Linked DNA regions of Schizosaccharomyces pombe. Changing the gene in region 3 together with the main gene of any one other region gives a genetic interaction. Each region holds a gene or a part of one and is shown on either strand. Other genes may lie near its edges. The genes, in order: eme1, cuf2, nur1 and pfd5.

Region 1 (7,970 bases), on a different chromosome or scaffold from region 3:
CAATGGAATTCAAGTACTAAGGGGATCACCAACTTTTCTTTTAGTTGCTCTATACTGCTCTGCTCTGCTCTACTTGCTTTGCTTTGCTCTATACTGCTCTGCTTAGCTTGCTGTTTGTTTTTGCTTGCTGGCGAAAGGAGACTGACTAAGAAAAGGTTTTTTGAGGAGGATTTGTTGCGCTTTTGTATGGATACGATCAAGATAATCAATTACGTTAGCCCACCAATCACGAAAGAGTCAATATTTTCCACGGGCCAATCAATCCGACCATGTTGGTTCAGGCTCGATAGCCCTGATCCTCGGAAAAGCAGCGTGCAAAAGCCGCTACAATGCAAATTTCAACTTTGGATCGGGTGACATGTGACTCAGAGGGGAGACGAGGCAGAAGCAGCAGGCGAGCGCAAAAGTAAACAGAGAAACGCAGCAAGAGAAGAGAAAAAAGGAAGAGAAAGAAAAAATGAAAGAGAAGAAAAAAAGTAAATTGAAGAAAAGCATTGTATAATAACATTTAAAATGGGAGAAAAAGAAAGATCAATAGAATAGAATAGTATAGAAATGCAGTAATGAATGACAAGAAACCAGGGAGCATCAGACATGTTCAGTAAATAATTCCAATAAAAGATAAGTAAAAGAAATTTGTCTGAGTGCAAAAGAATATTTCAAGATGTTGTAAGAAGGATTATTTTGTTTATTTTGTTTTTGTTTTATTTTATTTTCTTTTTCTTTTTCTTTTTGTTTTTCTCTTTCTCCTTCTCTTTCTTCTTTTCTTTTCATCGCTTCCTCTCATCTAAAACTTTGATCCGACTGATAGCTTGGAATCCATCGTATTGCATTACACCACACTATACAACGCTATATCCTTCGATGGATTATCTGGTCTTAGTCTTAGTCTTAGTCTTTATCCTAGTTATTGGTGCCTGCCCTAGCCCAGACAGAGATTTGAAGAATGGGGGTTAGGATCCTTGATGCCCCCAGTAGACAAAGAGCAGTATAGCAATGACAATGACAATAGCGATAACAATAAAATAGCGATAGTTTAGTAAAGAACTGTTAAATAGTAATAGTAATAGCAAATACAATTTCTATTTGAATCGCTGTCTTTGTCTACATTCGTTTTTTGCTCATGTTCCTTCATCTCCTGTGTTCATGCTTCCGTACGAAAAGACCTGCAACGCTTCCGGCCCATCGGACGCTGCATTTTACTTTTTTAGATGGAGCTCTGATCGTCCATCTCTCCCATTCCTCCCGGCTACTAAACCCGGAGTTAAGATAAAGGTGCGCCTGCTATCCGAAGAAAATAAACTCTGCGTAACCGAAGCAACAATGGTCGTGGTAGCAAAAGGAGTATAGGGTGAAAAGAGAAAAAGATAAAAGAGAGAAGAGAGGAGAGGCGAGAAAGGAAACAAGAATTATAATTAAAAAAAAAAAAAAAAGAAAAAAAGAGATTTTCTCTTAAGAATCAAAACATACTGAATGCAATTGTTTTGCCGAATACTACGATTTTTGACGTATTGCACTTTTTTTGGCTTATTGCTGGATCAACATGTATAAGAGTCTATTTAAAGGATTTCCGTTGTAAAAATACAACTTATCACACTCACACGTTGACACTAAGAGAAAAAAGCTATAGCGAACAATGATACACACACATATACATACGCTGTTGCTATTCACATACGCTGCCTTGATACACACTGTCTTGACTATAAGGAAAAAAGGTTTGGCTTGGTCACAAGTAAAATGTAGCGATGACTTTCGTACTCTACTAATGATTGTTTAGTGAAGAATGATAAAAGATAGTAGTGTGTATTGATTATACTTGTATAATGCAGTTGAATTTACTATGAATAATTTGGAAATTTCGCACAACTCGTTGGTCCTCTTAAAAAAGGAGAAATTTCAGTTTGCGAATATTGGTTTCTCTCTCTCTTTACTTTGCTTTGCTTTGATCTGCTCTACTATACTCTACACCCTTGCCTTTCTGCTTTCTTTGTTTGGTTGCAAAATTCACAGATCGCAATGAAAAAATGTTTTAAACTGCGAACTAATAAGTAGAATTGATTTTGCAATGAAAAGTAAAATTAAATTAAATAGAAAAAGAAAATTTTAAAAAGAGACAAAGAAGAGTAAGGAAAAAAAAGCCCCCCCCCCCCCCCCCCCGAAAAAAAAAGAAAAACAATGTATTCATGGTAAAAACAAAAAAAGTTTTTACTCATCATTCATTGTATCGTTGATCAATTAAAGAATACAAAAAAAAAGTAAGCATAAACCCATTTGGAAACATTGCATCAAAGGATTTTTCATTTTCATTTTCATTTTTATTTTGTTTTATTTTATTTTATTTTATTTTTTTGTTTACCATCATTGATGAAACAGACTAATGAAAAAGAAACTCTAGTACATTTTTATTTTTATTTTTATACTATTGAGCTTTAAATATTAGAGTATTTTATTCTATTGAATTTGAATTGAATTTATTTTAATTTTGGTTAAATTAATTGATTTTCTTTTCTTTGAAATTTTTATTTTATTCAATCTTTTTACACTTTCTAACGTACTACCAAAGTCCCTAAATACCGTATCGCCCTTCTACCTAAAATTCTTTCAAAATGACACACTAAACCACAGTATTTGCAAAAGAAATACTCACCCATCCCACTCATTGATTTCAATAATCTTCAATTCTCAAACACAAAACGACATCCTTTCAACTACTTCTAAAAGAATAAATATTTTCCTTTTTTTATACTATTCATCTTATCTAAACTCCTCCTGCATCCATTTCTCTTCTCCATTTTTTACCCATCTCTCACCTAACCTATATATACTTATATGTAAACAAACCTACTACTCTCTATACTTTCCATACCAAATATCCTCAAACATCCACGCAAACCTCCAATCTTTTTAATTATTCAAACTCTTTAATACCATTCCTATCTAAATTTTTTACTTCAAACTTTTTTTTTTTTTTCTCATTTCTTTTCGCTCTATTTCTGTCACCAACTCTCGTTCCCTGCCGGCTCCTTGTGTACACTTTGCCCTACCTGTCCTAACCACCAAACCCTCTATTGTTCGGAAAACAAACACTACACATGCATTGAATGACTCTGCAGTCTACAGATTCCGCTATTGTGATCGATTCTGAAGCTGATGTTGACATTTCAAGCTCACAAGCTTCTCCTTCCAAGGTTTGTCGCGTATTTCCCTTTCTTTCTGTTCGCTTTTTTTTTAACCCTCTTTTTAGGACAATATTGCTTTGTCAGAACACAATGTTATAACTGTTCTTGATACTCCTCAAAGATCTACTCAATGCGATAGTTTGCTAAAAAGTTTCAGGTAAGTTGACAAATATTGTTGCCAGCATTTCCTTCCTTTCCACACTTTTCTTCCACATCTCGCTAATCGTTCATTTGGGGTCAGTACTCCTTTAGTTTCCGGCTCCGAAGATGTTCTCCCTAGTCCCCGTGATGCCCTTAATATCACTAATAAAAAGTCGGTTACCGATAATCTTTTGCTCTCTTTAACTTCTTCAAACCAGTCAACAAACACGAATTTAAATCCTTCTTCACGCGTCGAAATCATTAATTTAAACTCTTCTCCCCCTAATTCCCTTTCCTCGCAACCAAAACACCAAGAATTTCATTTATTCCATACTCCCACCATTCCTAGGACTACACAATTGTCATCGAAAACCTCCTCTCCCATCGTTATTCCCGACGACAATGAACAAGTGGCTTCCCCTTTATCTAAAAAAGCTGCTTCTTTGACTTCTTCACCCTTAAAAGATTTCCAGTCCTCCCCGCCGCTCTCCACAGTCCTTCAAAAATCCCACTCCCTTCACGATATACTACTGGACACGAATGATGACGATCATTTCCCATTTACCCAGAGTCCGCTAACAAAAACAAAATCTTTCAACGATGCACTAACATCCTCATCCTCTATACTAAAGCCATGCATGCCATCCATCGCTAGTCCTACTTCTAATCGATTATCACATGCCCCTTCTACGCCTAATTTATTTCCTAACCAAGACAGCTCCAATACAATCGACCTCATCAATAACCGTTCCAAAACCTCCGTAGAAAATCAAGAAAGAACTTTCAATCTCACATCTGATGTGCACTTAGATAGCCCGACCTCTCCATCCAAGCATTCTTCAATTGAACCCAATACTAGTCAGGAAGATAGTTTTCAAGAACTTCCTTCTCTAAACAAACTTTCCATTCAAAGTAGAGCTTTTAAAAAAATGAGACTACCCAAAATTTCAAGGACTACCGATACGCCTCCTGCCTCTACTTCAAATTCAAATAAAAAAAATTTGGATAAATTAAAAAAAATGAGAAAATTATGCTCTAGGAGCTTGGAACCGTACGAGCTAGACTCTAATACACAACGTAAGAGGAAACGTTACGAAGATTCTTTGAAAAAATCAAAAACTTTAGATAAGGTTGACAGCTTGAATAGAAAGATGGCGAAAGAATTGGACAGAAAGAATTCAAAGGAACTTCAAAAAATTAACAAAGTTAAGAGAACCAAAGAAGAATGCCTATCTGAGATAATTCTTTTATCGCCGGATGATTGGGCTTCATCTTGGTATTCAACTGTTCGCTCTCAATTAGATTCATACAACTGCCAATTCGTTGTCAATTCAAATCAACCAAAAGACTCAATTATGTGGAAAAGGAAGGTAAACAATGTGTTTAATTCTTCTACCAACCGGTTTGAACTTAGCATAGAGCATGAACAAATCGAACCTTTTGCCCTACTACGGTTGAAATGCCGGGATTTTATAAAATACATCGAAGAGGACCAAGCTGATACTTTTTTTCATGAAATGTCTGAAAAGTTTAAAGGCTGTAAGCTAATACTGTTGCTGGAAGGCATCCCAAACTATTTTAAATCTCTGAAAGCAGAATTAAATCGTCAATATGCAGCAGCTGTTAATAGCGGTACCAGACCTTTGTTATTTGGTTCTTTATCAAAATATCAAAACTTTACTAAAGAAAAGTTAGAGAGTGAAATCGTCCGCTTCAGTTTCGAACATAGTATTCTTATAAACACTTCAAATGACGAAAAAGAAACCGCTCAATGGATAGTTTCCTTTACCGGCGACATAGCTTTATCTCGTTACAAGCACTTTTCTAAATTTTCAGCTAGAGCCTCTACTACCGAAATAGGACATGTCAAATCCGCCGATAGAATTGAAAACTCTCTAAATTTTATGTTGCGGCAAATACTACGAGTTACACCTAACATTGCTAACGCCATATGCGATCAATTTGACAGTATACCATCTTTAATTCATCATCTAAAAACTCACGGCGAGGAATCATTAACCAACGTTGTCATCCAATCTAGTATTAGTGAACGAAATTTAGGTCCGGTTTTATCGCGCCGTATATATAACACTTTCTTATGTAAAGAAGCATCCAGTGATGCACCATAGTGATCGGTCATTATTTGTATTTCATTAATTGTTATCATGATATTTTTTCCTTTTTTTTTCTATCTATGAAATTTTCTTATGATATACTTTCTTCTAACTAAAAATTAACTAATATCGGTTTCTAACTAAAGCACCTCATCTTCTATATCGTCGGTAGTATTCGTTCAAACTTTCTAGATCAATCAGATTCCAAACTTTCATCGTACTGGTTCAAGGCACGTCTAATGGCTAACACATTGTCTACAATGACAGCATCAACTCCAAAACGTACTTGGCGTCGGACATTGTCAACATCATTATTGAGAACACCATAGGTGTAGCAAGATAAACCCAATTGTTTAACTGCCTTGATCAGCCTCGGGCACATAATGAGCGGTTCACAAGCACTAACGATACCCAGAAAACTCCACTGTGAGGCAAACTTTAAAGCTTGTCTAAGCGATGCTGCACGAACGTCTGTTCGGTAAGCGGTACCTCCTTCAGTCAAAAAAAGAACAGGATTAGTCGATTTCAAAGAAAGTAAGATGCATATATCAGGATTAAAACTAGAGAAAATATACTTTCTTTTACCACCATACTTTTTGATTATCGATAGAATGGTATCCACGTAAAAGTTATAATCATAAGCTATAGGGAGCAATTTCTCTTCCTCAGCTTCACTTAGCATGGGGTACTTAAATTCCACATTAAGTCCTACGGATTGTGGAACTTCCTTCAAAACATCCTTTAAAGTTGTGAACGGTGCACAAATCGTATGACCAAGGGCATTACCCTTATATACTTTAGGCTTCAAACGTGCGTTTTCTTCAGCAAATTCACCGAAATTAACCTGTGATCCTGAAGGTGTAAATGAGGAACTGTAGGCCCTAGGACGTCTCTTCTGCTGAATGTCACTTGCATCATCTTTAATTTCTTCTGAAGGAGAGTGGGAAGCCCCTAAGAATTGCTCCAAAGTCAGCGAATGCACTTGTGCATCCGTTCCGGTTTCGTTTACGATAAAATCATGGTATACCACTGGGACCATGTCTTTAGTCATTTGCACATCTAATTCAACGTAAGAAGCACCAAGATCTGCCGCTTTTATAAACGATTGTAAAGTGTTCTCGCCAAGTTGAAGACTCAAACGATCAGGCTGATTCTTACCAAGTCCACGATGTCCGATAACCGCAACACCATTCGATTTCCCTGATTCTGATGTAGTTGTGGCAGATTTGTGTAAAGAACGCTCAGCGTCTTCCAATGCAGTGCGACTTACGTTGGAAACTGCTTCCAGCGATAAGGCAGGGGTACTTATGCCATCATTTGACGAAAATCTATCATCAACTGTCACCTTAGAAATAAGAACATCCGCATTAACATGAGCTATTGGTTTAAGAGTTTTACTCGAAAGTAATGGTAAGGGTGCCAAAGGTTTCAACGACTGCATATGATTCCCCAAATCAGATACCAGAGAAGTCAAGCAACATACAGTTCTCCCTAATATTTTATGGGATCGATTTGCTAACAAATCAATTGTAATAGTTGCTTCTTCTGTATTTCTTGTAACGAAAACCAATTCATACGGTGGAGAAGACCCGTTTACAGGTTGCGGACTATTTTCTTGTGCGGCATCATAATGCAAATGAATAGAGTCGTCGGCAATTTCATCAGGCTCCGCCAAATTCTCTAAGCAAACTTCACCGGCATTATCAAAATGGGAGCGAGGGATATCAATAATCACTGAGTTGTTTTGGCTAGAAGATGGTGTCATAGAGCCATTAGAAGCAGTAGTGTCGTTTTTACTCAACGAGTCAGTAGATTGAGACATGAAATCTACTGAAGATGGTCTACTTGCGGCAAAAGATGGAGACCGCCCTGAAACATACACAGCATCATCACCTTGAAGACTAACGCGGATTCTACCGGCCAAATCACTGATTCGAATAATGACCACTGAACGAGATAATTGTAAATCCATGGCACGTTTTCTGCTCCTCATTTCGGAACTTGAGGCTTTGATATAAAGTGTATGTAAATTAACAGGCTTATCACTCAAGGCGACTTGAGTTCTAAGTTTATCTGCTAGGTGTAAATACCCCCGAACCACAGCTTGTTCCATAGCAGTCCAACCTGAAGAATCAACTTCGTCAACCGAAGCGCCCGAGGCAACTAAAATTGAAACAATTTCGGAAAGTCCAGTAGCTGATGCAAGCATCAAAGGAGTCCATGAATTCAAAAAATCCCTTGCGCTAGGGTTTGCTCCAAGTTTGAGTAACATTTTAACACATTCCGGCCTGTTATAACGAACAGCGGTGTGTAAAGCTGTATTGCTACTAGCATCAACTTCGTTAGGATTGAATCCTGCAAGGATGAGTTCTTCTACGATCAAATCGTAATCGCCTACACAGCAAGTCAAGACCAAAGGAGGAACGGGTCCCGGCTTGGTAGAGGTTGTTTCCTTATCCTGAGCAGAAAGCAAAGCATGAAGAGCTTCAACATGATTTCCCTTAATAGCCAAAGTCAAGGGAGTGTCGTGCAT
Region 2 (4,833 bases), 1.1 Mb from region 3:
AGAGATTGCTGCAGTGTAAGAGCCCAACAAGAAAGCGGAAGCGCCAGAGCGAGCCTCCAAATTGAAAAGTTCAACATTGTTGGAAAATCCGTTTCTGCGACCAGAGTTGTTCCACTGAGTCAAATAACGGTTCAAAGGAACGTGTTCCGCGTAAGAAAAGATACGGTTGGAAAGAGAATAAACAATATCTTCAATGATTTTGTGCGAAACATCGAATTTCGCAACTTGATCGGAAGAATCAGTAGCAACCATTTTGAACCAACAAATCAATGATTAAACGGAAGAAAATAATTAAAGAAATTTAAAATTTTGATTAACAAAACGTTTCAAAAAATTAAATAATATTTAATGAAAAGGAATGTTGAACCCCAAAAAAGAAACCAAAAAATCCAAATGTATGGAGAAAAGTGTCAAACCAAAATTTTTCGTTTTGACGAGCTTTCCAAAAAAAAAAAAAAAAAAGAAACAAGTATGCTTTTATTCGCTAAAAAGTTAGAAATCTGTTTCTTAATTAAGATACAGCTTTAGATTCAAAATTTCGCCAAAAAAATTAACCGTTAAACGTTTTAAAATTTTGGTGTATTTTTTTCTAGTTAAACTGTAGATATAAATGTTCAGTTGCAAATGCCTAAAATTCCTACCAAACGTGGAATTTACACCTAAGCAAAGTACTGGGATATTTAGGTATACTTGGTAAAGAGTAAAATTGAGAATTTAACAAATAAATAAACCAGTTCGGAGAGCTACTGCTTGCGTGATTGCGCTTGTGTATCACACCAATTGTTGCTACTTTAAAGCGACATAATCGCTTAATTTAAAGGTATAAACAACGTATTCTTTCAATAGCTCGTTATTCTTATTAAGGATAATGGAGGTGCTTTTTCTTACTGTAATTAAAGAATTGTTTGATGTCAGCAATACTACACTACGCTATAATACACTACGTTGCGTATCACTATATGTCACATGTTCTAATTATATATAGTACCATGTATGATACGATATTGAGATTGATCTTAATGATAATCTATCAAGATCTATATTATCTGAATAATATAAATAGAGCTACTGCTGAACCTCGTTCCTCAGTTCAGTTATAAGCTATATTAGTGATAGGTAACATTATAACTCAGTTAATACAATACCTATACTCAGTTGCTACTTATACAACCTGTGTATTGTAATATAATAGATCACAAGGAAAACTCACCGCAGTTCTACGTATCCTTAAATCAGATACCAAACTGCGTAGCTTACATTTGAAGGGATTTAACAACATAATGGAATGTAGTTGACAGATGTGACGTTGTATATCTTTGAACAGGTATACAGAGATTTACGGATACCCAGACGATAAATAACGACCGTTGGGGTTAGCAGTTTTATTCTCATCAAATTAAGAAAATGTGTGTGCAAGGTAGTTATTGTTTTTATAAGGTTTTCTAAATTTCAATACTTTTAGTAGTCTCATCTTGTAGCAATCTGATCAGAAAGACATTATCATCTTTCGCATTCTGAAAAACATGAAATAGAATGTCAAGTGAATTTGAGTAAAGAACCGCACGTATTGATGTGTTCGATTTCAGCAACGTACTTGATTTTAGAAGCTCCATTATATGATTTTAGTTTAGCTAGTTAGTTTTATCTCCAGAAAATTGACAGGTATTCAATATTTACTGATTTATTCATAGTGCGCTAAATGCATCTAAGTACTGTGCTGTAATTATGTTCATTATACCCAGTATATCAGCATCTAGCAGCAAATATACATTTATGTAAATACATTTACATTTCAAATAGTAGCATCTCCAAATCGTCACAAATTGTAGAATTTACATATCTTTTTTTAAAATACTGAACGTTCCTTAATTTGATGAAATCACTTCGTCTACATTTCTATTATGTGACAATATTTGTAGGTAGCAAATATTCAAATTGATTAAAAGATTTTTTGAAATCGAAAAAAATTGTGAGTTTAATCATACCTTTCTGAAAGAAATATTTCAATTTTTTTTAAAAAAATTTGAAGGGTCTGACAAGCCTACCTCATTTTACATTTACTTTCATTTAATTATTTTTTTAAACCTGACATTAAAACAAAGTAACTCGATATAACCCTGAAAAATAATAATCAATTAAAATAAATGAGCAATCAATAAAAAAGTTATTATGTCTTTAGGTTGCAAACTTTTAAGCTGTTTTGTAATCTGAAAATCATATATGTTATAATATAAAGTAGTATATTAACAAAATCCAGTCTTTATAGCATCTGGTACCTTTTGCAAACAAAAGTTATTTAACAAGTTTAGAGTGCAGAAAATCGCAAAACTGCTTAGAGAATTGACGCAATCATAAAAACATAGAATGAAATCGCCTCGAGGAAAAATCACAATTTGATCAGTTTGCACACTCATTAAATCAAAATTATCTTTTCTACGAAATTGTGCTCAAAAACATTGAACATAGTGATTTAATACCTTCCTATTTTGTATGTTATTGTTGGTTAGTGTCAATAAGTTGATGTATTTGTTTATCCCATAATATGTAAACAAATGTCCATAGCTAGAGCTTATAAATAATTTATGCCAGCACTCAAACTTTTGACAAACAACAAACATTGGAAATATTTAAAAGTAAAGTATATTATTTTAAAACACTTAGCTGTTCGTCTTGTCTTCTATTAATATCCGTTGTGCAATTCTTCTGGATCAGAAAGCTAAAGCAGAGACGAGGAAAAAGGAATTTGGGAAAAAGCTGTCATTTACAATTTATCAACCTAAAGGAAGAGAACGTATAAGAGGAATTTATTTAAAACGTTCCTCGACTAGCTTATTTACTCGAATCCTACTTGTCTTCTTTTCCCTTAATCACAAATACCTTCAATCATGATCATTATTGACGGTAAGAATTATGCTTGGTAAGACTTTTTGTATGGTTATAAGATAAAATTTTTAACACTTACTCTAGTGTTGTATGCCTTCGAGGTCATCGAGGCTCATCCTGCCAGCATCAAGAAAGGGCACTGATAGAAGTTCGAACTAGAGGAAGGCCGTTACTATGGTATGTCACATTGATCAGAAAAAAAATATTAACTTGAAATTCAGCAAAAAATGCAGAGCCATAAAACAACAACTTAAGAGTAATTTAAAATGCGTTTGTCATTTGCAGCCTTTTCTACCCTTCGCCAATGAGTATCAGGAGTTATTAAATTTCACTCAGAAAAACCCAATATTGGCTAGCCTTTTTTTGTTTTCAACCGACAAAGATATTATGAATTCTTCTTTAAATCCTGCAAGTCAAGCCTACACCTTCGATTTAGGAAGAACACTACCCATCAGTGAAGATATATTAGGATATAGGAAACCTCTTTCACTAACAGATGCTTCTAATCGCATTGATGCAAGTCAATTGAATGAAAAAGAAAACGATTCTTTTACCATAAACCAAGAGGCCGATATTTTCAATTTCGCAAAGTACTTACATTCCAAAGACGATATATCCGGAATCCCTTGAATTCACAACTTTCGTTATTATTCCAAATAGCGACAAATGAAGGTTATTGTCATATCATATGTATAAGTACTCTCACATAAAGTATTCAATCATAAAAAGATGAAGTAATTTGAATGTTTTGGTCGTCTAAAAAGGTGCATATAACATTAGAGAAATCTATGTATTCAAATTTACTGGGGATCAAACACCATTTCAAGGATTTCCCATGGGAAGTGAAATTTAGAATAGTTGTGTATTGAATAGCGTCAATATTACTCTGATAAAGTTTTCACGGGTTTTTCTTTTCTTTTTCCACATTTAATTTAGCCTGGCAGTTGATAACTTTCGACGATGATTCAGGCTCGGAATGAGGAATAACAGAAGGGTTTTCTTTTAATTTAATCACAGAATCCTTTGAAATGAGGTCCTCCTGAGGAAGTAAATTGGACTTCCGGACAGAAGGGCTAGCCATCAATAAAGCTGAATCCTCTTCATCAACATTTTTCGTTTGACGTGTTGAAACTTCAGGGGTAACAAGAGGTATGTTTTTAATATTCCATGGTGACAGAAACGTTGGTGTCGCAAAAATTCCAGAATGTCTGGAGGAGGATACTGAACCTGGACTGGCGCTTAGTTCACTTCGATTTTCTAAGGCATTATATGAAGCCGGATCTCGGGGCCTCTCTCTTCCTTGATAATCTTTAAGATACAATGCAATTTGTTCGTCAGGTAATTGTAAAACTGATTCTTGGGTAGTACTTTCGAGCGCGCATAATCTAATCAAATACTCCAGTAAAGTTAAATTAGGTTGATCTTTTATAGTCGATGGAAAGGAAGACTTTTTCTTTGCAACGGATTCTTGTTTTTTGATGCCTAAAAGCTGTAGCCTAGCAGCTTCAGAATCACTAAGAGATTCTGCAAGTTCATCAGATTCGTCTAATGATTCATTAGGTATTGATACCAAAGGAAGTGCTTCTAAAGCTATCCAGTTCGAAGGTGCTGTATTTGAAGAATACTCTGTTTCATCATCTGCATACTTGAGTAATAATACGGGAGTTTGTACATCATCTAACCGAAGAAGTTTACCGGACAAACTAAAAAAAAGCGTGCGCACATCATTTAGTGAAATGGTTTTGGTGACAGGAGTCTCATCTTCATCATGGTAACGATCATCATCAAAAGATTGTTTTAAAGATAAAGCATAGGCTAGAACCGTATCCTTGGACTTCAACCGTTGAGGAGGCATGCGAAACATTTTGGCGATACAAACAGGCATCTCTTCTTTCCACATGACTAAATCATTGCTTATATAACCAGACTTGGCGTGGTTATCTATAATTT
Region 3 (5,787 bases):
TTCGTAAACCATTTGAGCCGACTCTTCAGGTACAATTATACCTGTAGTAACTGGAATCGCACGATGTTTACGAAATTCAAACCCTGTAACTGCATCCGCATAATCAATGTTGAGTTTCTTGGCAATTTTAGCAATTCCTCGATATGGCAAATGTGCTGCGCCCTTGGGGATCATGCTCTCAACAAAACAATCCATATTACCATAACCGTTCTTAGGAATAATACCATCTTTGATTGGAGGCGGAACATATAGCTCAGTTTGATCGGAAGAATATAGACCCTGAAGCACTGGTTCATTTGTTTCAGCAACCCGAAATTCGTGTTCACGCTTCCTGCTAATTGTGACGGCTCTCGCCTTCACCATTTTTCGAGGTTGTTCTCCTTCCTTAATTACTCGTCCTTCTTTGTGATAATTTTCAGGCGTTTTGCATATGACCACATCTTTTCGGAGATACACTTCCTCAGAGGTAGCTTTCTTACCGTTACCAAAGGTTGCTGTCTTCACAGGCTTGGCGTTAGGAAGCAATGCTTCTTCTCTTCTAAGATGTCTAATCAATACAAATTCAGGATGATTCTTAAAATCTGCAAAGCTTTTAGGTTCGCGAATGGGCACTTTACTTTCCAGTTCTTTCTCTTCATATATATCCTCTGCATCTTTATTGCGCTTTGCTAGTTGCCCAAAAATAGCCTTATAAAAATCAAAATACTTATCTGCAAAAGAAACGTGTCGAATTTTCTTAAGCCTACTTGATTGGTAATCTGTATACCTCAAAGTTACATCTTTTGCGTATAAATCGTTATCATATGCAGCAACAATACCCATTCGTAGATGTTTTGACTCTGCATACGCTCCTTTGGGTTCAAACCAAGTCATATCGTTGGTATATACCCCATTCAAGACAACCGCATCTACCGCAATCCATTTCTTCTCACTTTGATCATAGATTTCCGTCCAAAAAATAGGATAGCGGAGGTCGTCATCTATAGATGTACTAGTTTCTTCAGGGAGGATATGTGGAGACCAATCATCATAGGAAGCAGTAGAAAATGTCAAAGGTTGAAGAGAAAATATAAGTCTTGCTTTCAGATTCAGAGATCGACAGAGAGCAGTAAATCCCTGTGCCGCCAAATCCCGGCTTCCTTTTAGCGAAAGTAAGGATGCTTGGTATTCATGAAAGTTATGAAATATTTCTGGCGAAAAGCCGATATCAAATCCTTGTTTCAAAGTACGATACCCCAACTTCCGAAGCCCATGACTCTCAATTTTAAAAGATTTATTCCACCACATCCGAAGCCCATTTAACAATTTTAACAAATCCTCGTGCGTCTGGCTACTACAAACCCACGCCTCCACTACGGACGGTTGCTTTTCGACAAGCAAATCGCGCAGCCCATCAAGAAGTAAGGAATTCATTAACCAGCGATTCCTTACTGACCCATGGTACAACAAGCAAGTAAAGTGCATAATGTGAATAGATAATCGAATGCTTTTATCCATTGCACTAGAAGAGCCTTTCTTCGATTCTTTTGTAAGTTGAGGAGTGATATGCTGTGTGACTATGTGTAAATCTTTTTTATCTTCTTGTTTATTAGGAGAAAGATCAACTTGTTCCCAAGTGTCAAAATCGTCGTCAAACTCGTCATCTTCTGAGCTGCCTAACTTCTCATTGTCTTCATCGGAACCTTTTTCGGATGAAGATGCGCTCCTTTGAAGTGAGTTTAACGCTGATATATTGTCATCTAAACTCTCAGAAGGAGGTTCCGCTGAGGAAGACAAACTTGGCTTTTTCGACTGGCTACGAGTTTGACGGTGAGTTGAAGATACAACAGTTTCCTCTTTCACTTCAGGATTAAGAGGTAAGTTATTGGTCCGTGTCCTACGTTTCCTTCCGCGAACAGAGTTCTTGGATGCTTTGCGTTTGGGTGGCATTGAGCAAAGAGTTTATGTGAATTGAATCAACTTTAGGATAATGCTTGTTTAACCGCTGGTTCAAATAATATCAATAACGATAAATTGAATAAAAAGTTGTAATCACAGCCACATCTGATATATTCTTAGTTAAAGAATTATTATTTCAAGCAATCTCTCCAACAAGAAAGCAAAATTCTAACAATGGCTGTGATGATGATTATTAAAAAGTCCTTTGAAAAAGAGGTCAGTATCAACTGCGCAAGAATGGCGAGTAGTTTGTTTGCTGAATATTATGAGCTATATTAACTACTTTTGATTTCAACCGTGAAATAAAGATTTAAAAAATTTAAATCTGAAACATAACATGAAAATAAATTATTAAATAAAAAGTTAAACCACATGCATCACTATTAATAAGAGACAATAAACATAAGTCAAAAAAAACTTCAGCCGTTAAATTTTAAGGAAATAATTCATTAATTAGTAAAACGTCAAACGAAACTGTTTAAATTTATGTCACTGATCGAGCTTATATTTCCTAAAAATAGGAATTTTAAATCGACGACTGATTTTGCACAGCAGTAGTAGTGGTAAAGTTGAAACCATCAATAACACCAATACTTAGGAACATCAACCTGCGAAAGCAAATTCTTTTTTTTTTCTTTTTTATTGCACACTTGTTTACGTACCGGATTTAAAAAGTTATCTTAATAAAAAACTTTTTATCCTTCATTGTTGCAATTGAAGTCGATAATAGCAAGCTCGACCTAGCTAATTAAAAAGCCTTTGCTACTCTAATTAATACGTAAGGTTTGAATCCTGAAACGGAGAAGTGCCCTAATTTCGTTCATTAGTATACGAATATCGGAATTTACCTTTCAGGTCCATGGTTTGTTTCATTTCTAATTCGGCGTTGTTTTATACTCAAAAAGTACACCTGAATTTCAAAACATTGCTTAAAAATCTTTTCAATGGGAAAGTTAATCCGTCGTACATCGCTGACTTCTAAAATAATCAATCTTCCGATCGATTACTTTATCTATGTTTGCGAACAATTTGACAGTGTAGAGTGGGATAAAGTATCAGATCGTTATTCGATTCCCTTTAGCTTGGCTGTCAATTTTATTTTTCTCTTAATGCGCATTTATATAAAAAGTACGCATGTACCAGTTCAACGCAACCAGCTCTTTGTGGATAAGCAGTCCATCAACACCTCTAGGTCCTGGTTTCGTGCCTTCCTATCATTTCTCTCAATTTGTTTTCTTTTCATCAGCTTTCTCAATTTCATATTTAGCACTCGATTTCAAAATAAGCTGTATAGAACTTTGCCTCAAGACAAACGCACGACGACTTCTACTCCCAATGTAAAACCAGTTTTCCAGCACTCAAATAATGATGATGGCGATGAACAAGTTTTTGAATTGAAAGTATGGAGCCCAAATCAATTTTTACTAAATTTTGCTTGCTTATTTTCTCCTGCTCATGCCTTGATTTTATGGTTTTATAGCACTTCTCTACGCGTGACTTTGTTGACTTTTCTCCTTTCGTTTACAACATTGCATTTTGTCAATAAATTTTCCTTACTGCTGAAAGATCAACAATATCTTCATCGCCAGGTATTCTTTGAGTATGATAAGAAATTTGTAGAACCTCGACTTTCGGTAGTTAAACGAGATGTTGCCATTAATACTACTCGTGGTCCCACAACCGCATCTATTGAATATTTCACACCCCGAAAACCCATAGATACCTTCCTTGAACACCGAAGTTCTTCACATGATCATCTCACTTCAACACCCCGTACCCCTATAGCGCTTCAAAGAAGAAGTGTTCATCATCTTCATGACAGCGGAATTAGTCGTGACAGCAGCTCACCATTTAAGAGATTTCCACATCTTAGTGATGGTAGTTCTCGCTTTTAATATTTGTCTGAATTACATGGTTTTTGAATGACCCACTGCATTTCCATTTATCATTGTTGTTTCTGTTAATTCCTATTTTCGAAAAGTTTTAAGTCATAACTCAATTCAGACCTGAAATAATTGTATTCATGAAGACTAATTAGGGTATCAAACACCGTCATTCTAAAAACTTTCGATGATCGACTTAGAACCAAATCCTTATAATTTAAGCTTATTCAATATGATCTCTTATTAAAATCCTTACATGATTATAAATATGAATACTCTTGTTTGTTAGAAAATATATTTAAAAGTGATAATGTGCATCAATTTTGTATCTAAACTAATATGTAAAAATCGAAGCAAAATTTCTAAAAGGAAAATAAATTATATTAAACGTGCAAACCGATTAACTAAAATGATTTTTAGAAAAAACTCAGCTTTGTAAAAAAGGCAATTGTTATTTCTAACAAAAGACGCACAACAAAACAATTCGTTTCCGTGCAGCAAGTAGAAAATTACAAAAATTTTATCAATAAGGTCATAAATGAGAAAAATGAGAAAGTCCCAAAGAGATAGTTGAACAAGGTCAAGCAGTTTTAGGTTATAGCAGCCATAAAAATGGGAAGAGCTATTATGTAGATTTCATTCACAAGCAAATAGTGCGAACAATTATTCAACAAATTTGACGGATGAAGGAAAATAAATGAGAGTGAACAAACATAGAATAAGGCCAGCTTTAATTTCAAGTCAAAATTAATTTTCCTCTTCAGCTTGTGTCGTAACCCCATGAGCCCGACATAACGGGCAGGAATTATTACCAGTGGTAAGCCACTGATCGATGCAGGCCTGATGGAAAAAATGTTTACAAGCCTGCAACTTGCGACATATGTCACCGTTAGTATAAGTTTCTAAACATATTAGACAAGAATCAGCACTAGAAAGTGAAGCATCATCGAAATATGCAAAAAGTCCGCCCGATCGTTTCACATCTTCATGAGAAGCGACTGGTTTCTTCGCTGGACCCAGGTATGTAGTAAGAGCCAACAAGTCTTCATACATGGGATTATCGCTAAACAAGCTAACTGTAGACAAAACTGGATGATGTTCTGGAAACAGACCACCAAACACATAGATAAGCCAATCACCATGGGTGCTATTAGAGAAAGTTCCCTCTGAATGCGTTTGAGTAACCATGTCGGCAGCCCCATTGGAAGCCAACGTACTAAAGTCGCTAGTATTATCATCAACAGAAAGTTGTTCCTCAAATCTATAGCTCCGTGCTAAGCTAGAACGTCTAGTTTGATTAGACAGTAAATCTCGATCAGACGGAAAATGATGGAGTCCTGTAGATAACCTTCCAGGCTGTGTGGAAAATGAGGAGGTATTATCGGTAGTCGGCTGATGAGTTTGTGACATCGAGAAATTGCCGGAGGCGTTCCTCGAAAAAACATTTGATTCAGAAGGCACTGTTGAAAACGGTCGTTGTGAATTGGAATTTGAACTATCCAATAATGAAGAAATGTAATCATCTCCAATGTGATTTTCTCCAGTTGAACCATTTACAGGTTCTTGAGCTCTTCTTAGTATACTTGAATTCCTTAAATCCACGGAAACAGTAGGTTGATTGTAGCGCGAAAACGAAGAAGTAGATTGATTACCCGAGTTGGACGTTGGAAACAAATTTCTGGAACCAGGAAAAAGATTTGCAGGGAAATCGGATACCGGCGTAAAAGCCTGGCTAAAGTCACTTCTTGTAGGTTCAGGATGTGAAAAAGTTGAATTGCTTCTCTCGAATGTAGGAGGAAGATCAGTGGAAAATTCAGTGGACTGAGCCATTCTTTCGGTTATATCGTTAATGGATATGTTTTCTCTACTCTCGTTATGAAGGCTTTGATTTTCTTGAGTCATAGTTGGCGCATGATCCTCGGAAGTCTCGGAAATGCTACGCATACAAACGATAAGGACAGGCACC
Region 4 (5,876 bases), on a different chromosome or scaffold from region 3:
AAAAACTTAAACAAATTACGATGGAAGTTTCGACTTCTTGAATCTCAATTTGCCCTCTACAGTTTGCCCTGTCAACTTCGATTTGTCCACTATAATAACTTGGAAGACCCTAATTCATTTAATGGTCTGCTTTATTTATTTACTGATTATATAGCTTTTCAAGGTGATGATGAGTCTAATCAATTTTGTATGCCATATACTATAATTCGAAAAGTTAGTCGAGTGAAAAGCAATGATCTTGAGCAATTGTTGTCGGTATCGACAAGCAATGGTTACGAATACAGAATATCTCTGCAGGTTTCTGAAACCACTGCTGCACATTTTTGCCAATTACTGAGAGAAGAGCTTGTATCTCACAAAGCTGATATGCAGCGGTCCTCCGAGTTTAGCAAACAGTTCTTTTCTGAACGCCTTTGCAAACCCAATGTTCCCGAACCAGAAACTAAAGATTCTTATGGATTCGGTGCTCGATATGGTTATCCCACCGATCCTCGAATCTCTAGAGAACGGGCAAAGCTACGAATGTGGAAAGAGTATTTTTTACTTTATGGTGCAAATCTTTCGTTAATCAGAGTTTCTCTCTTCTCCAAATTGGTCCGAATTGAATTGCCCAATAAACTTCGTGGTGAAATATGGGAGCTTACATCAGGCTCCATGTACTTTCGTTTAGAGAATTCAGATGAATATGATCATCTTCTTAAAGTGTATTCTGGTCAAACATCTTTTTCTTTAGAGGAAATAGAAAAGGATTTAGGTAGAAGTCTTCCAGAATATCCTGCTTATCAAAATGAAGAAGGTATCAACGCTTTGCGAAATGTTTTAGTAGCCTTTTCTTGGAAAAACCAAGAGGTTGGTTATTGTCAGGCAATGAATATTGTTGCAGCTGCTCTTTTAATTCATTGCACCGAGGAACAAACCTTTTTTCTGATGCATAAGATTTGTGAAGATTACATTCCGGGTTATTACTCAAAGACGATGTACGGCACTCTAATTGATCAACAAGTTTACGAAAGTTTGGTTCAACGCTCAATGCCTAACTTACATGCGCATTTTGTAAGCAAAGACATTCAACTTAGCATCATTTCTTTGCCGTGGTTTTTGTCGCTTTTCCTTTGCACAATGCCTTTACCGTATGCGTTTAGGTTGTTAGACTTTTTCTTTCTAGAGGGTCCAAGGGTTTTGTTTCAAATTGGAATGGCTATCCTATATGACAACGAAGCTGAAATTATGAAGGCTACAGAAGACACTATGTTGATATCAATTTTAAAAAATTATTTTTCATCATTGGGAGATAAGGCTTATAAAGATGCAACAGATAAACGCGTTGCCTCTATCACGAAGTTTCAACTTTTATTGGTAACTGCTTTCAAGAAGTTTAGCCATATAACACACTCTTTAATTGAAGATGAAAGGAAAAAACATTACGAAGGAGTTATGAATTCTATTGAGTCATTTGCAAAGAGAACACAAATTAGGAGTTTACAAAATTACGGTACATTAACACGTACGGATTTAAGTAATATTTACGACCGTTATCATGAAGTATTGTCGTCCAAACATCGAGTTGGATTAGGCAGCTCTACTGATACACGGTTGGAATTTGACGAATTTTGTATATTTTTAGCAGGAGTTACTGAATGGGCGAAAGGTTTGGATGCAGCGGCTATCAATAATTCATCATCCTTTCTTCGTCATTTGTTTTTACGATTTGACAAAAGCATGACTGGATCATTATCTTTACAGGATTTGGTGTCCGGTATTGCAGAATTGAAATTTAGGGATGTAATGCGCAATATATCTTTTATATTCGAGCTTTATGACTTTAATGGAGATGGTTTTATGGATAAACCAGACGTTTTGAAGGTTTCAGAAGCTATTCTTTGGTTAACTAGGTTTATGGGTGATGAGTATCTATCCGCAGTTAGCGAATTCATACAACGCTGCTTTCATTTTGCTGATGAAGCTAGTCCTGATGGTCATTCTGATACGTTGATTGATATAAGCGACCATATGAGCAGTACTGGTTCTGAAAACCGTTCTGTTGGTGCTAATAGTGATATCAAAGTTAGTCTTCCCACTTTTAGAATGGTTGTTTTATCAATTGGTTTATTAGAGCAATTATTTTCTGGAGGACTCGCCGACTCTATCGTTTTAGCTCCAGTCCAAGAAAAATCATCAACCACCGGAGGTTTGAGAGGTTTATTGGATTCTTTGGTAATTGATACCAATAGGATTGGTAAAACATTTCGTGGGCATAAACCCGCTTCTCGTCCAAGTACCGCAAATGGTACTAGCAATCAAAATACTACTTCTGAAATTACCACATCGGAAACTACGGCGACTGAAAAAACACCTTCAAATTCTTCAGATACCGAAGATGATGTTGGTGATGTTGTAGAAAACGATAAAGATTTGCTTCAATTTGATCCATACAAAAAAAATGATGCTTAAAAAGCTATACTTAAACTTCTAATCAATGGCACTATAATGCATCCTAACTAGTATTATTTTCCCAAATTTTGTTAATCTTCATGCTCATAATTTATTAATTATTGAAAAATCTATCATCTATATTGATATATTCTATAGCGTCCCTCTGCTCAATAACATATTCGATTCTACTTTCACTGTTTGGTATAATTCTGAATAACTGTTTAAAACAAATATTGTTTCAACCAACTAACTGATTGTATATTGAAATGGATTACCATGTACCTGTAATTTAATGCAGTGCAGCGTTGGAATTTCTACCAGTTCCTTCGTATCTTGACTGTTCTAATAGAAGCGTAATAATGGCTGAAGGTAATAAAGCGGTCGATTTGACTTCTCTCAGCTTGGAGCAATTATCAGAAGTTATAAAACAGTTAGATTCTGAGCTAGAGTATCTATCGACCTCCTATGGACAACTAGGACGTGCTCAATTGAAATTTCGTGAATGCCTGGCAAACGTTAACGATGCTGTGCGGGCTGAGAACGATGGTATAGACAAACTGAAATTTTTTTTGCATATGTTTCACTAACTATTGTCAATAGGAAAGGAGGTTTTGGTACCTTTGACTTCAAGCTTGTATGTTCCTGGAAAGCTGAATTTAGGAAACAGTAAATTGTTGGTCGATATTGGGACTGGTTATTACGTTGAAAAGGTATTTTTAATATATAAGAGATTTTTAAACCTAACGACATTAGTCCGCTGGAGAAGCTACCGAATATTATAAAAGAAAATGTGAATATCTCGCCAGCAGTATCGAGAACCTCAACAATGCCATTGACGCAAAATCAGTTCAAATTAGAGGTATGAGCATTTACAGTACAGATCAATTTTTATCTTATTATCAACAATTTGCTAATTCTCTGTAGCCGTTCAAAACATTATGCAACAAAAGGCAACAGCTACAACAGCTGCAACTAAATCTTCATAAGCTAAATAATTAATGAAATTTCAAAAAAAGTAAGTAAAGGATTAACCAATTATATGATGTGCATGCTTTTTGTTAGTTCTGTGAATCTTCCGCGGTAATGTTCGTTTGAGCGATAACTGGAGCTTCGTCGTCAGTATTTTCAGTGTTCATCGCCGCCAATGTTTGTAAGTAAAGAGCCTTGCTGTAAAGCAAACTAGTTTGCGCGATATTTTTTATGTCCTCGAAGTTTTCAGGCTCTGAAGAAGGTTCGATATAAACACGCTTATAAAGTTAGACCAATATAGCAGATTTATTATACTTACCTTTTGAAGAGAGTCCACCTTGCCATTTAATTTTTTGGCTTCGATTATTTCTAATAAATTTTTCTCAATGAAGTTCTCATCAATATGAAAATCAACTGCAATTTTGCTGAACGGCAAAGCACTGTAAGGAATTAAATAGTCAAGAAGTGAACGCTCCCGAATAAGGGAAAATAAATTTGTCAATTGAGGAGCCAGATACATGTCTAAAGAATAGTCTTGAGCATTTTGCTGTAATGTATCAAGCAAAAGACTATATTTGCGATTACATTTCGCTTGCAAACAACGTCTCAGGGAAGGGTCTAAATCTGACAAAGCATTGAACTCTTCATTTCTTTCAAGCTCTTGAATCAGACGTTTATGATCCCAGCACGCTAGTGCACAAAGTGAGATATACACTGAAATGTCAGTTTTTGTAATAATACCATCAGAGGTATCAGTTTCAACTTTTAAAAAATGAGCCAGGGCCTCTTCGTAATCACCCAAGCAAAAGTTGGCCAATCCACAGTATGCATAAATAGGACTAGTTAGCTCCATGGCTGCACTAACAGTAGACTTGGCGCGAGACCCGAAGGCTAGTACATGAGAATAATTACCAATCCAAATAGAAATTCTCATTAACTCTAAGGATAAATGAGCAATTTGTCCAGCATTTGTACAATATTCGCGAACTTTGGCATATGATCTTAAAGCACTATCAAACTGGCCCACATCAGCAAAAAAAGAAGCTAAATCTAGTTGTGCCGCCTAAAGTTGTTAGAATTGTAACAAAGGATGTAATAAAAAGTCTGTGAAGCAAAAAGTTATCTTGTAGCTCATACTCTTATAGATTCTCGTATTAAGTTGTTTTTATAGGCTTTTAGTTCCCTTCTTAATTGTTCTAGATTTTGTTTCCTATGAAAAGTAACGCTTTCAACCCATTCTACGTCCAGCTGCTCGTTTTCGAAGCAATCTTGAAACTCCTCGAATAGAGACTGGTACAACTCTAGATTATATGTCTTTTCTTTCAATTCTTTAATGGCATAATGAACACAAAAACTTCTTAACGGCTTAGAATTACGGGCGACAAACAGCGCGCGAAATATTTTGGACCATACTATGAAACTGTGAATAAAAGAATGACTTGCAAAAATGCATCAATTGAAAAACTCTTACCACCATATTCATCCAGATATCTCTTTAATTCTTCCTGATTGACTAGTAGATTTAAGCTCATAATAGAAAACTCGTAACTAGTCGGAACACTGTAGGTTATAGAATTGGCCAACTGGTTATAGGCCAGTGACGAGTACCAGATGTATAAAAGCTATAATAAGATGGTGATTTTTTCAAGTCGAAGATGTATGTAGTTAATTAGTTCTACTTTACGGAAACGAGAAAAACATATCATATTGATTTTATTTCTTTCCCCAAATTTCCAAGCAAAATCGCATCTAAAGTTAGGATATGAGTTTACTATTAATATGAGATACCAAGATTAGAACCCCATGTATTCAATAATAAAAATAAAAAATATGAAAATTGTTGCAAATATCTTTTAACTATTCCCTTGAAACAATGCTCAACTCTAATTAAAGCATTTCCTAATTGAGATTTAAAAAATAAACGAACAAATCTATAGCCAAAGAATTGTTGAAGTCTAAATAAAAAATAATAAATTTTCTTTTAAAAAAAAAGGAAACTTAAGGTGGTTGAATTTACTAATCTACTTCGAGTTATAGGAAGTTTGGTTATGTAACTTCTTTACTTAGAAAATAAGACAACGATAGTAAAGAAATTTACGAGCAGAATTCATAATTTCGTTTTAAAAATCCAATCAACATAAAGTATCTACTTTGTCCTCCCAATGACAAAATCTTTGTATCTGTCACAAGTTTATTGTTTATATGTTTTCGCATTAACAATTATTTTGTTAAGAGAAGTGTAATATATGCGTATTCTACTTGGAAAGAACAAACTAAAGAGATAAAAAAATCCTGAAAGTGAAAGGCATTTGAGTAGTGTCAAATTTACAATTGGAAAACTGCTATTCTATTTTTTTTCCTCTTTTTATATTAGGGAATATAAGGTTAAACAACATAATCAAATAACGATACTTAGTGCGCTTAGAAGCACACCTACATATATGTATGATGAAATGGTCAGGCAAGGCTATAAT

What was found.
Region 1: mutations in nur1 (region 3) and eme1 together harm fitness more than expected from each alone (negative genetic interaction), as found in Schizosaccharomyces pombe (2 studies listed by BioGRID).
Region 2: mutations in nur1 (region 3) and cuf2 together harm fitness more than expected from each alone (negative genetic interaction), as found in Schizosaccharomyces pombe (2 studies listed by BioGRID).
Region 4: mutations in nur1 (region 3) and pfd5 together harm fitness less than expected from each alone (positive genetic interaction), as found in Schizosaccharomyces pombe (2 studies listed by BioGRID).

The regions. Positions count from the first base shown.
Region 1 is NC_003424.3:3,295,002-3,302,971, reverse strand, and holds eme1 (Holliday junction resolvase subunit Eme1), read left to right. Parts: upstream 1-3,058; 5' UTR 3,059-3,104; coding exon 3,105-3,191; exon of another isoform or gene 3,192-3,247; coding exon 3,248-3,339; exon of another isoform or gene 3,340-3,423; coding exon 3,424-5,452; 3' UTR 5,453-5,630; downstream 5,631-7,970. Other genes in the region: glycerophosphoryl diester phosphodiesterase Gde1, read right to left, coding at 5,631-7,970. UniProt on the Schizosaccharomyces pombe protein: Interacts with mus81 to form a DNA structure-specific endonuclease with substrate preference for branched DNA structures with a 5'-end at the branch nick. Typical substrates include 3'-flap structures, D-loops, replication forks and nicked Holliday junctions.
Region 2 is NC_003421.2:1,529,241-1,534,073, forward strand, and holds cuf2 (Cu metalloregulatory transcription factor Cuf2), read left to right. Parts: upstream 1-2,885; coding exon 2,886-2,917; exon of another isoform or gene 2,918-2,967; coding exon 2,968-3,060; exon of another isoform or gene 3,061-3,104; coding exon 3,105-3,513; downstream 3,514-4,833. Other genes in the region: met10 (sulfite reductase NADPH flavoprotein subunit), read right to left, coding at 1-252; SPOM_SPCC584.03C (GTPase regulator), read right to left, coding at 3,782-4,833.
Region 3 is NC_003421.2:448,511-454,297, reverse strand, and holds nur1 (protein nur1), read left to right. Parts: upstream 1-2,534; 5' UTR 2,535-2,882; coding exon 2,883-3,833; 3' UTR 3,834-4,089; downstream 4,090-5,787. Other genes in the region: DNA repair protein Rhp42, read right to left, coding at 1-1,929; SPOM_SPCC4G3.12C (ubiquitin-protein ligase E3), read right to left, coding at 4,569-5,787. UniProt on the Schizosaccharomyces pombe protein: Has a role in meiosis.
Region 4 is NC_003423.3:4,024,626-4,030,501, forward strand, and holds pfd5 (prefoldin subunit 5), read left to right. Parts: upstream 1-2,780; 5' UTR 2,781-2,792; coding exon 2,793-2,979; exon of another isoform or gene 2,980-3,033; coding exon 3,034-3,143; exon of another isoform or gene 3,144-3,186; coding exon 3,187-3,292; exon of another isoform or gene 3,293-3,357; coding exon 3,358-3,419; 3' UTR 3,420-3,491; coding exon of another isoform or gene 3,492-3,680; 3' UTR 3,681-3,721; coding exon of another isoform or gene 3,722-4,465; 3' UTR 4,466-4,518; downstream 4,519-5,876. Other genes in the region: SPOM_SPBC215.01 (GTPase-activating protein), read left to right, coding at 1-2,451; COP9/signalosome complex subunit Csn1, read right to left, coding at 3,492-3,680, 3,722-4,465, 4,540-4,814, 4,874-4,934. UniProt on the Schizosaccharomyces pombe protein: Binds specifically to cytosolic chaperonin (c-CPN) and transfers target proteins to it. Binds to nascent polypeptide chain and promotes folding in an environment in which there are many competing pathways for nonnative proteins.